Linked DNA regions of Arabidopsis thaliana. The protein of the gene in region 3 interacts with the protein of the main gene of each other region in a pairwise test. Each region holds a gene or a part of one and is shown on either strand. Other genes may lie near its edges.

Region 1 (5,617 bases), on a different chromosome or scaffold from region 3:
TTTTTTTCTTTCACAGATTTAATCTTCATCTCACATCTCAAAAGATAAATTTTTATTCTGCAGTAAAAAATTCATTAGCAAACTCTCTTTAATTAAATATCAAAATATGTTTTTTAATGTAAAAATATTAATTAATATCTTAAACTTTGTCTTTTTAGTGAAATATCTTATATATTATAACAGAAGAAGTATATATATATATATATATATAAAAAAAATAAAGATGTATATTGGTTACCCAAAATTAGAAGTTCACAAGAAAATCAATATTCAATATTTACTCAATGAAATTTTCAACAAAAAAAAGTCTTAAATAAAGAAAGATTTACCCACTGAATCTGCTGAACCCGTGGCTCCGTCGGTTTTGATTAGTCACCGCCATTCTTTCCGAAGAAAAACAATAATAACAGTAATACTAATATATAGGTGGCTGTAATGTTGCATCTTGATCAAAAAGAGAAATAATTTTGTAGTTATTTTAAGGAAAAAGATGAACGTGATCATTTTCCATCATTCAGTTTTTTTTTTTTTTTCATTTTCCAACATTCATACATAGGTATTTTAAACTTTTAGATGATTCAAGGAACTATTTTAGGTTATAATAATGTATACAAAAAATTAGATTACTCAATAATTAATATCTCATCAATATTGCTGAAAATCACATCTGTTAATTTTATCAAAAAAAAATATTACTAAAAAACAGTTTAATAAGAAAATATTACTGAAAATAACGTTTAATAAGAAAATAAATATTGTATGATTATTAGATTTTTTCTGATAATATGTTTAATTGATTTATCAAATCTCAAGAATAAAAGGAACGTTGTTCCTATGTTTAACTGAAGGATATAAGAACATTGATAAACTTCTAAACTAGAACCAGGGGTAAAAGGATTATCAAATCTCAATAATAAAAGGAACGTTCTTCCTATGTTAACACATTGATAATTCTTTAATTTACTGGTAAAAAATATACGGTTTACAAAATATATATATATATATATATATATATATATATATATATATATATATATACGGTTTTAATAGTTACCGATCACAAAAACTATTAAAATTAATAGTATGAAAATATTATCACCACGATTTTTGTATTACTAATTTTATTGCTCTTAATTATTTTGTCATCTTTTATCGTTATTTTTCCATTAAAAATAAATACGGCTTTGTGTCACGAATAAGAAAACATATTTTTTAGTAAAACAAATTCGACTAAAATAAAAAGGAAAATGTTTTGATCACATTTTTATATTGTATTACAGGAAATAACCAATGATAGATAATAATATATTATTCAATTGTCATCATTTCTTAGTTGACAAAAAAAAATCTATACATGTTTCCGAGACGTTAAAAGTATTTACAAAACTACTCCAACAATTCACATTTGTTTTATAACAAATAGGGACAAAAATGATCATTTTAAGCTTATTGAATAACTATGATCGTTTATTTTTGTCAAACAAATGGATGGTTTATTTAATTAAGTCAAGTCATAAGAAAAAATTAATAGTAAGTGTGTAAGAAAAAAATTAAAAAGTCACAAATGGTCCCATACGTGTGATTCGGCACGATACTTCCTAAAAGCATACCACTAGGCTCTCTCCTATATAACTTCATCTCCACCAACGATGCATTTTCGTCCTCAGATCTCATCTCACTCACAAGAGAGAGATAGAGAGAGAAAAAGGCTCTGCTTTCTACATTATTTACGATTATACACTTTCCAACATGGCGGCCTCTGTAGATAATCGCCAATACGCTCGTCTCGAGCCAGGTTTGAACGGCGTGGTTCGTTCTTACAAACCTCCCGTTCCAGGCCGGTCCGATTCCCCTAAGGCGCACCAGAACCAAACCACCAACCAAACCGTGTTCTTGAAACCAGCCAAGGTTCATGACGATGACGAAGACGTGTCGAGCGAAGACGAGAACGAGACACACAACAGCAACGCCGTGTACTACAAGGAGATGATAAGAAAATCCAACGCCGAGCTTGAACCGTCCGTTTTGGACCCGAGGGACGAATACACGGCTGATAGCTGGATCGAGCGTAACCCTTCCATGGTACGTCTCACAGGGAAACATCCCTTCAACTCCGAGGCGCCTCTTAACCGTTTAATGCACCACGGGTTTATCACCCCTGTCCCGTTGCACTACGTTCGTAACCACGGCCACGTCCCTAAAGCCCAATGGGCCGAATGGACGGTCGAGGTGACCGGATTCGTCAAACGGCCCATGAAATTCACCATGGACCAGCTCGTCTCCGAGTTTGCTTACCGCGAGTTCGCCGCGACGCTAGTCTGCGCGGGGAACCGCCGTAAGGAACAGAACATGGTGAAGAAGTCAAAGGGATTCAACTGGGGATCCGCCGGAGTTTCCACCTCCGTGTGGCGTGGTGTCCCTCTCTGCGACGTACTGCGTCGCTGCGGGATCTTTAGCCGAAAAGGCGGCGCTCTCAACGTCTGCTTCGAAGGGTCGGAGGATCTTCCGGGCGGTGCCGGAACTGCTGGTTCCAAATACGGAACGAGCATCAAGAAGGAATATGCCATGGATCCATCAAGAGACATCATTTTGGCTTATATGCAAAACGGAGAGTATCTAACACCAGACCACGGTTTTCCGGTTCGGATCATCATCCCCGGTTTCATTGGTGGCCGGATGGTTAAATGGTTGAAACGAATCATTGTCACAACTAAAGAATCCGACAATTTCTACCATTTCAAGGACAACAGAGTTTTACCTTCTTTGGTAGACGCCGAACTCGCCGACGAAGAAGGTACATAAAATCTTTTTGCTTCAATAAATCTCATTAAGATGAACTAATTGATATGTTTAAAAAGTCTCCGAACCTATAGGAGAAAAACAAAAACAGAAATCATATTAAAAAATGAAAAACTAATGTTGGTGGATGATGTCAGCTTCTGTGACTTACATAAATTCAAATTCAATGGTTTTGTTTTAGGTTGGTGGTATAAGCCAGAGTACATAATCAACGAGCTAAACATAAACTCCGTGATTACGACGCCATGTCACGAGGAGATTCTTCCCATCAACGCTTTCACAACCCAAAGACCTTATACTTTAAAGGGTTACGCATATTCCGGTACTTGTCCTTTTAACATTTTAATTTAATAAATACGTTATTTCATAGGATGATTTAATTTAATAGTAACAATAATCTTTATACAAAAAAAAACAGGAGGTGGAAAAAAAGTGACCCGTGTGGAGGTCACGGTAGATGGTGGAGAGACATGGAACGTATGTGCACTTGACCATCAAGAGAAGCCAAACAAGTATGGGAAGTTCTGGTGTTGGTGTTTTTGGTCACTTGAGGTTGAGGTTTTGGACTTGCTTAGTGCCAAAGAGATTGCTGTTCGTGCATGGGACGAGACTCTCAACACGCAGCCCGAGAAAATGATATGGAATCTCATGGGGATGATGAATAACTGCTGGTTTAGAGTGAAGACTAACGTGTGCAAGCCACACAAGGGAGAGATTGGGATTGTGTTCGAGCATCCAACGCTTCCTGGTAATGAATCTGGTGGATGGATGGCGAAGGAACGTCACCTCGAAAAATCGGCTGACGCGCCTCCTAGTCTAAAGAAGTCTGTCTCGACGCCGTTTATGAACACAACTGCGAAGATGTACTCGATGTCCGAGGTCAAGAAGCATAATTCGGCTGACTCTTGCTGGATCATTGTCCATGGACATATCTATGATTGTACACGATTCCTTATGGATCACCCGGGTGGTTCGGATTCAATCTTGATCAATGCTGGTACGGATTGTACGGAGGAGTTTGAAGCCATTCACTCGGATAAAGCCAAGAAGATGCTTGAGGATTACCGTATCGGTGAGCTCATCACCACTGGTTATTCCTCTGACTCTTCCTCGCCTAACAACTCGGTTCACGGTTCATCCGCCGTGTTCTCGCTGTTGGCTCCCATTGGAGAGGCGACTCCGGTTAGGAACCTCGCTTTGGTTAATCCCCGGGCTAAAGTCCCGGTTCAACTCGTCGAAAAGACTTCCATTTCTCATGATGTTCGTAAATTCCGGTTTGCTTTACCGGTTGAGGATATGGTTCTAGGCTTACCGGTTGGTAAGCACATTTTCCTTTGCGCCACCATCAATGACAAGCTCTGCCTCAGAGCTTACACACCAAGCAGCACCGTTGATGTGGTTGGCTACTTCGAGCTCGTGGTCAAGATTTACTTTGGCGGTGTCCACCCAAGATTCCCTAACGGCGGGCTCATGTCTCAGTACCTAGACTCTTTGCCTATAGGGTCAACTTTGGAGATTAAAGGACCATTGGGTCACGTTGAGTATCTCGGCAAGGGTAGTTTCACGGTTCACGGTAAACCAAAGTTTGCTGATAAATTGGCAATGTTGGCAGGTGGAACCGGAATAACTCCGGTTTACCAAATTATCCAAGCCATTCTCAAGGATCCAGAGGATGAGACTGAAATGTACGTCATTTATGCTAACCGGACCGAGGAAGATATTCTCCTAAGGGAGGAACTGGATGGTTGGGCAGAGCAATACCCGGACCGGTTAAAGGTTTGGTACGTAGTGGAATCAGCTAAGGAAGGTTGGGCATACAGTACCGGGTTTATTTCCGAGGCGATTATGCGAGAACATATCCCTGATGGATTAGATGGCTCAGCCCTTGCCATGGCTTGCGGACCACCACCGATGATTCAGTTTGCGGTTCAGCCGAATTTGGAGAAGATGCAATATAACATCAAGGAGGATTTCTTGATATTCTAGTCTAAAGCCAAGATATTTCAAAGTCAAAACGTTAAGTCGTCAAAAAGCCTAGTGTTATGATAGATTCTAAATAAGTATTGAGGGATTTGTTTGTATATAATGTTGGTTCTTTAAAGTCTTGGATTTGGAAATATAATGTGTTCGTTGTATTCACGATCGATATTTTTTTTCACAATAATATACAAAAAGTAATTTCAGAAATTTTTGTGGTTAGGTTATCGTACATTGAATTTTCTGCGTTTACTTCACATTATGAATATCAATTTGAATATGTTCATTTTTTCATATGTCTTTGTCGTTAAAAAATAAAATAAAAATTCTACAGCTATTAGACACCAATAATCATTTTCAAAGAGAATAAAGCCAAAGCGAAGTAGTTTCCTGTTGTGCAAGTTGAAACCAAACTCGTCCATTAGTTCCTATATTAATCTTCACCACATATATGATTTAAGATTAGGGGGAGTGAATTTACTTTTTTCATTTGTTTTATTAACTTGTAATTTAGAAGACTCTTCCTTTTTGGGTGATTAGTTTAACAATATATCAATCGTTTGAGAATCTTTAGAGTTTTCAGTTAATATTCAATTTGTTCTTATTAAAATTGTACATGTTTATAAAGTATGTTTCTAGCATCCAAACTCTTCTCCATTACAGGATTAGAATTTTAATACAGCATCACAAGTTATGTTCTAAGTTATCCAAAAGGAACATCATATCTATATAAAAATAGTGTGCTATTAAACCGATAGAAAATGTTACGATATATATATATATATATATCTAAATAAAATCATATATCAACGATTCATAACTTCAAGAACTTAAATAATGT
Region 2 (4,075 bases), on a different chromosome or scaffold from region 3:
CTTTATTTTGAGTTTATTTTGCAAAAATGATTTGAGACTGGGAAAATTTGTTTTATTTTCGTCAATGAATATGCGTAGTGACGTCGATACTAACAAAAGTACTACTCTTTACATTCGAATTTTTGGTGGTTGCGAAACGACAACAAAGATCTATGAAATTTGTGTTTCACATTAAAAACTCAAAATGTATTTTGAAACCCAATGTTTGGAAACATGTAAACAAATTAAAGTCTTTGTACTTTTCACCAACAAATGGAAAATATATATCTTCTAACAAATATGAGTATTTGAGGAGCTTGCATTTTCGATAAACAGCTCCTAATGTAGTACTCTTTGCATGTTCAAAAGATGGGACGTTTCCTTGAGGGCTGATTTCAACATTCAGAGAAAAAAAATTATATACATGTACGGAAATGAATAGTTAATCTTGTTGAATAGAATAAGAGAAGAGGAAAGAAAAACAAATATCGTATGTTATTATAGTTTATATATAATCAACTTGCAATAAAGGAAAAATTTGAAAAGCGTGACTAGATATGCACTTGGAGACTGACTTACATAGTAGATACGATAATCGAATATCTAGATATCTGGATGGTACTCATATTATTTGTTTATTACGTATGATCAAAGATTTATTAATATGTATCATCTTCTACTTGGCTTAATTATTAACTAGTTTAGTATTCGTCTCTAATCTTCAAAACAATCAACATAAATATCTAAACTATATTGGTCATATAAAATCTAATACTTTACTATCCACTTGTAATGTTTGTTTTGTTCAGAGTTGGAGACCCACATAAATTGATTTCCCTATCCGTATTGTAAAACAGACTATTGACACTTTGATCAAATCTCGTTGGATGACATGAACACCAATGATTTGAAGTGGGGAACAATTCAATAGTTAACAATATTTTTGTTATTTAAATGCATTTCAACTATACGGTCGATATTATTTGAAATGTTTGCAACTACATATTTAAGAAAACGTTAAGTGCAAATGACCCGTTCTTAAACACTCCGAATCTCATATAAAATAAAGTTTTTTTGTACTAATCAAACATATAATTTTCAGACTTTTAGTTTTGATAGAAACAAATTACATATACGAACACCCAAGTACTACTTTTTATATTCGATAATATTATTCTATCTTCGTTTAAAATATATTAACCACATCAAGAAAAGAGGAATGAAATATTCTAACGGAATTAATGTTTGCTGCCAAAAACAAAAAAAAAACAGAAGAAATTTTTACATTTGAGTTTATTGGTATAGTAGTTAGGATTTTGTGTTTTATTATATATTTAAACGAATTTATTTAATTATTTCTAATACAGAAAGATGTATATATTCTTATCTACTTTCATTTTGTTTTTAATGTTTTATTTCGTCAATACCCTTAGGGGAAAAAAGTGTATTTTGGCAAATTTTCCTTAAATCTAAGAGCAAGAACAAAAATTAAAGTCACACATGAAAGTTGAAAGTGATCCAAAGGGATTTGATATTAGAAAATAGAAAGTGAGATAAAACCAAAAATAATTTTATATATTTGCCTGGCTTTTTACAAGCATCTCACCCCCACTCACTCTTTACATTTAAGGATGATGAAAAATACTTCACTTTTGAAATAATCAAACACCATTTTTAATCTTTATAATAACTCTGACGTTGAAGACATCAACAAACACCTTTAATTACATATAATAGTTTATGGAATTTCTCTTCTTCTTCTTGAAATATATTATTTAATTGGAAATAGTTCAATCCCTCTGTCTCTTCTTCTGGAGTCTTGGACCCAACCCCATCATTCCAGAAATGACCGGCTAAAGTCAAGAACCTCTCTCTGAGCTCTCACCACTTTCTCTCTCTACTCCCTCTCTGCGTGTAGGATACTACTAGACAATTGACAACCAAAGACTAAAGCTGTGTTGTTGGTTCACTTCTGTTCTCTTTTCCAATGTTGTCATCAGCTAAGCATCAGAGAAACCATAGACTCTCTGCTACAAACAAGAACCAGACTCTCACCAAAGTTTCTTCCATTTCATCCTCATCACCATCGTCTTCTTCTTCATCATCATCAACCTCATCATCATCTCCTTTACCTTCTCAAGACTCTCAAGCCCAGAAGAGATCTCTTGTCACCATGGAAGAAGTTTGGAATGACATCAACCTTGCTTCCATCCACCACCTAAACCGACACAGCCCTCATCCACAACACAACCACGAGCCAAGGTTCAGGGGCCAAAACCACCACAACCAAAACCCTAACTCAATCTTCCAAGATTTTCTCAAAGGATCTTTGAACCAGGAACCAGCACCCACAAGCCAGACCACGGGTTCTGCGCCTAATGGCGATTCCACCACGGTCACTGTTCTTTACAGCTCTCCTTTTCCACCTCCTGCAACTGTTCTGAGCTTGAATTCCGGCGCTGGCTTCGAGTTTCTCGATAACCAAGATCCTCTTGTTACCTCAAACTCTAATCTTCATACCCACCATCACCTCTCAAACGCTCATGCCTTCAACACCTCTTTCGAGGCTCTGGTTCCATCCAGTTCTTTTGGTAAGAAAAGAGGCCAAGATTCCAATGAAGGTTCAGGGAATAGAAGACATAAGCGTATGATCAAGAACAGAGAATCTGCAGCTCGTTCCCGCGCTAGGAAACAGGAATGTGCCTCTCCTCTTCCCTCCTAATCTTCTTCTACTCATGTGTATCAAAAAGGGAAGAAAAGAAATGTGGTTTTGCCATCAAATTGCTTTTGATCTAAAAAAAGGTCTCTTGGTTTTGATTCTCATTTGCAGGCTTATACAAACGAGTTAGAACTTGAAGTTGCTCACTTGCAGGCAGAAAATGCAAGACTCAAGAGACAACAAGATCAGGTAAACAAGCAGAGCCAAGTTCTTAATGTTTTACCCTTTTGTAGCACTCATGTCATTAGATCAATTCCTTGTAGTTTAACCAACTTATAAAAAGAGACAGACAGACAGCCTCTGGAGTATATTTGTTTTACACACTTTTTTGTCCAATGACATTTTGGGTGGTTAGATTCTGATACTTCAGTTGTGTGTTTATTATGTGTGTGTGTGTGTGCAGTTAAAAATGGCTGCAGCAATTCAGCAACCCAAAAAGAACACACTTCAACGGTCTTCCACAGCTCCATTTTGAGAAATCTACAAGTCCTTGTTTCTCTTTTGGGGATTGAGATTGTCTCATGAAGAAGTGAAAAAATGGCAAAAGTTTGTACCCTTTTTTATTAGCTATAAGTATAACTAAGCCTAAAATTGTAGAACTAAGATATTGTAGGGGAAAAAAGAAGATGTAAAACAAAAGACCCGGAAAGAGAAAAGGATCTTTCAATTTCCTAAGGCACAGGAACACCTGTCCTGGGTCCTCTCTTAATGTTCTGTCGTTTTCCTATGCAAACCCTTTTTTCACTTCTGTACTAACTTCTACTTGTATTCTTGTTGTAGTAATGTTCTACTTCCTCTTCTAATACTAGTAAGAAAAAAAACCTTATGTTTTACTGTTTAACCAATTTGGTTCTTAAAAGAAGCAAAGGATCAAATGACCAATAGACAAAACAGTGCTCCACTTAAATGATGACAATACCAGAGAAAAGTGAGAAGGGGACCTATCACTGAACATTTAATTTTCTCCCTATCACATTATCACATAAATATCCAATCCTTTGGCTGTCTACCATACAAGCCAACAACTTGCAATATGATTTTGAAACCTCCAAGCCAATGGGAATTAAGTTCACCACTTTTCGGGTTGGTCAAGAGAGAACATGATAAGTTTCTTATTCAGCATGGTCACTCCCCACGTTTTATTTATATTCATAGTACATAGTATTGTAGCTTTTGCTCTAACTGGTCACCATCAAAAACACTAGGTGTGTTTGTATTCATTTGGTTTATCAAGAGAATAGTTTTTATCTTCTTTTGGCCCAATTTCATTTACCTGACAGTGATAAGTCTTGTTGATCCACTTTTGGTTGTTGATATATTGCTGTGTATTCTTTTAAGCAACCAAAAGTGGACATCAAGAGCTAATATGGTGTAAAT
Region 3 (4,158 bases):
TGTAGAGCTATGCAGAAAGACGAAGACAATGATGAAGAAGACGACGAGAATATTGGTGTGGGAACGGTTCTTGTGAACCAAAGATTTCAAAAGTGGGGTTTGCGTTTCAAGATATGGGCGATGGAGAAGGACTCTGGACATGGAACATTGAATTACACTTTGAATTGGGGTTGGAATGATGTCGTCAAAAGTAGCAGCTTAAAAGTCGGCGACAAGATCAGCCTTTGGACTTTCAGGTGCCGTGGAGTCCTCTGCTTTGCACTTGACACAGAGTAGCTCTTCACTTGTTCACTAGCTTATTCAGTGATTTTGAGTTTCAGTAACTTATTGGAAGTGTTAATTAACAAGATTAGGATTTTGGTGTGGTTCTCTCCTTTATTAGTAGTAACTTGTCTGTCTCCTATGTTATCTGAGATCTTTTACCATTGTTTGAAATGAAATATTTTGTTATAAATATGGTTTCTTGTTTTCTCTACTTTAGTTACCTTTTATTTCTTGTAATATATTATATCAAAGTATAATGTCATGGAAGTGATCCATTTGCAGCAAGTGTTTTCGTACATTAATTAATCAATTTGAGAAAGTTATCACACTTTTTTAGTTGATCAAATCAATAACCAAAAAAATAGAAAATAAAGACAACTACCATATCAGAAATAACCAAGTTTTGATTTCATTAGAAAGGAGAATAGGAAATATTGAGGAAGCTAAAGGAGGAATGATAAATCGCAAGTAGTTTCAAAACAAACAAACAACAATAAAACTGTGTCTCTTATAAGAATCCTGAGCTATCCCTCACTCAGATTATCACATGAAAGTTTTCTACCATTATAAAATGACTCTTCCTCTTCTTCGGGTTTACTCGGCACCATCGGGCTTTGATGCCTCCTTAATCTCATCTCCTGCTTCGTCCTATTCACCAAAAAAGAAACCATCATGTCAACAACATAACTTAGTGATCAACGTATATTGTGTTGTTAATACTTACAGTCATATCTGAAGTCCAGAGAGTGAGATTGTCTCTAAGAAGCTGCATAATCAGTGTACTGTCCTTGTATGATTCCTCACCCAATGTATCTAACTCAGCGATTGCATCATCAAACGCCTGCACAAACCCAAAATAGCTGTTTCATTCACTGAGATAATAATAACACACGAAGCAAAAAGTGAAAATCAGGTGTACTACACAAACCTGCTTTGCGAGGCTGCAAGCACGATCAGGCGAGTTGAGGATTTCATAGTAAAACACAGAGAAGTTGAGTGCAAGACCAAGCCTTATCGGGTGAGTAGGAGCTAACTCAGCAGTGGCAATGTCCTGCATTATCACAACAACAAAATCAATCATACCCACAAAAGAAAACAACATTCAAAAACGTTGTAAAGAATGACTTACGGAAGCAGACTTGTAAGCAACCAAAGTGCTTTCAGCAGCTTCTTTCCTTTCAGCACCAGCCTTAAACTCAGCAAGATACCTATGATAATCACCCTTCATCTTAAGATAAAACACTTTAGATTCAGCTGGTGAAGCAGAAGGAATAAGATGAGCTTCAAGAACATTCAAAATCCCATCACAGATTTTGCTAAGCTCGGATTCAATCTTTCCTCTGTAATCCTTGATAATAGCAACATGATCTTCGTTCCCTTTGCTCTCTTCTTTCTGCTCAATCGAAGAAATGATTCTCCACGAAGCTCTTCTCGCTCCAATCACGTTCTTGTAAGCAACAGAGAGAAGATTCCTCTCTTCAACTGAAAGTTCCTCAACATCAACAGTTTTCGCAACTTTCTCCATGAATTCAACCATTTCTTCGTAACGTTCAGCTTGTTCGGCTAATTTCGCCATGTAAACATTCTCTTCCCTTGTCGACATCTTCGATTCAACAATCTAGAGCAAATCCTACAAAATCAGAACCCAAAACATACACACATTGATACATTTCTTCACCGATTAAGAACATAGAGAAAATAGGCATAAACAAATGAGTCGAAACAATAACCTAATCATCTAGATTAAGAACACAATGAATCTTCTTCATAGGTGACGAATCTAGAGAAAATTCTTCAACGCGAATCCGAAGTAAGATCTACATACTCGTCTATGTTCTTCACGGATAACGAATCTAGAGCAAAATCGTTCAAAAGCAGAAACAAAACCGAAACCTAAATTTTAACATCCTACACACAAATCGGATTTAGATATCAAACACACTGAATCAGTGATAAGAACAGAGAATCGATGAGATCGAGATCTCCAGAAACATACAATCAAAGATCAGATCTACACGTAGAAGAAGAAACTACGAAACGAACGATGATTAGAGAGAGAGAGATTTACCTTTCTTTTTTTTCGATTGAAGAGAAGATCTGATTCGAATTTTGCAAGTGGTTTGAAAAAATGGAATAAGAAGAGACTGATGAAGATACAATGAGAAATGGAATGATAAATAAATAAAAACTGTTTTCGAGGCGTAGAGTTAAGAGATCCAATGGAAGGTTGACAAGTGTTGGATGCTGAAGATATGACTGATGCATTGAATCTGACACGTGTGTAGCCATGCTAGTGTTGAGATCTGTTATTTGAAATCTGATAAATGGGCCACTGGGCCCAACGGGTATTACAGTATTACAACTTGAGATAACTATATGATGTACAGGACGGTATTATGGGCCTTTAGATTTAAGTTAAATCTATAATTGATCTTAAACAGACTTTTTACATTGTGTATATTTAGAGCGGTGTATTCAATCTAATAATTTATGTAAAATTTATAAATTTTATGTTATTTAATTATGGATTTTAAATTTTTAAATGAAATTGAGTGTTATTAAATTAAAAATTTAAAAATCAACCTTTTTACTGTTACTGAAAATAGTTAGTGGATTTGATTCTTATTAATTTTGAAGGATTTGAAAGGATTTGAAAAGACTTCTTTAGTTAAAAATACAGAAATCTAAATCTCATAGTTTTAGATAGAATTTGAAAAGACTTTACAGTAAATCACATCAACTTACCTAAAATCATCAAAATTATATAAAAACTCACTTATATCTTACCAAAAAATATGTTCTTTAATAATTCAGTACCTATATTTGTCCTAGGAAAGCAAATTCTAGATTAGAAAAATAAATTGAATGATGTATATATCCAATTTAAACTCATACTTTAGCAAAAAAAACATCTCATGTAGCACATTAGCTAAATTTTCTTTAAAAATCAGCATTTTCAGGTTCAAATTCCCGTAGCGGAAAATCTTTTTTTTTTAAATTTAATATATATTTATTTTATATCCCGCTAAGTTTCTTTTTAAATTTTTTTTGGTTTTAAAATAAATAAATTGATCTATATATCCAATTTAAATTCATACCTTAGCAAAAACATATGCACTAGCACATTAGCTAAAATGTTTTTTTGAAAATAAGCATGTCCAGATTCAAATTCCGGCAGATGATTTTTTTTAAAAACAATCTAATATATATTTTCATTTTAACAGAAAATCTGTTGGATTTTTTTTTGATAATCAAAATTTTTGAAAAATCTTTTGGTTCTAAAAATAAATAAATTGTTGAAATTATTTAATTTAATGAAGGCTCCTATCACAACACAAACTGTCATACCTCTTGAAATCCAAGATTAGCAGAGTGGATACGGCATTGTTAAAGCACTGAACGCTATGGAGGCCTCGTCCTTATTTACACAAAACAGTTAGCGAAAAATTCCACTAAGTATTGAAAAGAATTTACCTGAAGTACAACCACACTAGAAGAAAAACTGAGAAGTCTCCTCACCACAAAACTTGTAGATCGAACGAGCTTCCGTGCCACTTTGATCATCAAATGTAGGGTTATCGAATGAGTTTTCTGACCATGGGATGTCCACGTCCAAATAATAATGGTTGGGTTTTGGTGAAGCCCAAAATTAAAGTGTTTAAAATGGATTACAAACCATATAAGCTCGCTAGTAAATGGGCAAAATTATTTAGACATAATTTGTGCAGTAATAATTAAAAGCTAGGGTTTAATTATTTAGGGTAAAATTTTAAGATTTCTCATTTCTCTCTCGATTTGAGACAATTTCAGAGACGATTATGACAGATCTCAAAGGCTCACTGGTTCCACCATTATAAGTTCTTCATGAGCAACTTATATGTCTTTATGTTTGTG

What was found. The genes of interacting proteins can lie anywhere in the genome.
Region 1: the proteins of GRF3 (region 3) and NIA2 interact in a two-hybrid assay, tested with the Arabidopsis thaliana proteins (one study listed by BioGRID).
Region 2: the proteins of GRF3 (region 3) and FD interact in a two-hybrid assay, tested with the Arabidopsis thaliana proteins (one study listed by BioGRID).

Annotation. Positions count from the first base shown.
Region 1 is NC_003070.9:14,156,868-14,162,484, forward strand, and holds NIA2 (nitrate reductase 2), read left to right. Parts: upstream 1-1,584; 5' UTR 1,585-1,749; coding exon 1,750-2,794; intron 2,795-2,980; coding exon 2,981-3,121; intron 3,122-3,217; coding exon 3,218-4,785; 3' UTR 4,786-5,071; downstream 5,072-5,617. UniProt on the Arabidopsis thaliana protein: Nitrate reductase is a key enzyme involved in the first step of nitrate assimilation in plants, fungi and bacteria.
Region 2 is NC_003075.7:17,002,780-17,006,854, forward strand, and holds FD (Basic-leucine zipper (bZIP) transcription factor family protein), read left to right. Parts: upstream 1-1,742; 5' UTR 1,743-1,966; coding exon 1,967-2,674; coding exon of another isoform or gene 2,675-2,701; exon of another isoform or gene 2,702-2,809; coding exon 2,810-2,887; intron 2,888-3,101; coding exon 3,102-3,173; 3' UTR 3,174-3,529; downstream 3,530-4,075. UniProt on the Arabidopsis thaliana protein: Transcription factor required for the transition to flowering promoted by FT.
Region 3 is NC_003076.8:15,407,986-15,412,143, reverse strand, and holds GRF3 (general regulatory factor 3), read right to left. Parts: upstream 2,461-4,158; 5' UTR 2,333-2,460; exon of another isoform or gene 1,995-2,332; intron 1,895-1,994; 5' UTR 1,868-1,894; coding exon 1,394-1,867; intron 1,316-1,393; coding exon 1,193-1,315; intron 1,106-1,192; coding exon 989-1,105; coding exon of another isoform or gene 985-988; intron 913-984; coding exon 859-912; 3' UTR 543-858; downstream 1-542. Other genes in the region: AT5G38490 (B3 domain protein (DUF313)), read left to right, coding at 1-276. UniProt on the Arabidopsis thaliana protein: Is associated with a DNA binding complex that binds to the G box, a well-characterized cis-acting DNA regulatory element found in plant genes. Involved in the regulation of nutrient metabolism. Reciprocal negative transcription regulation of miR396.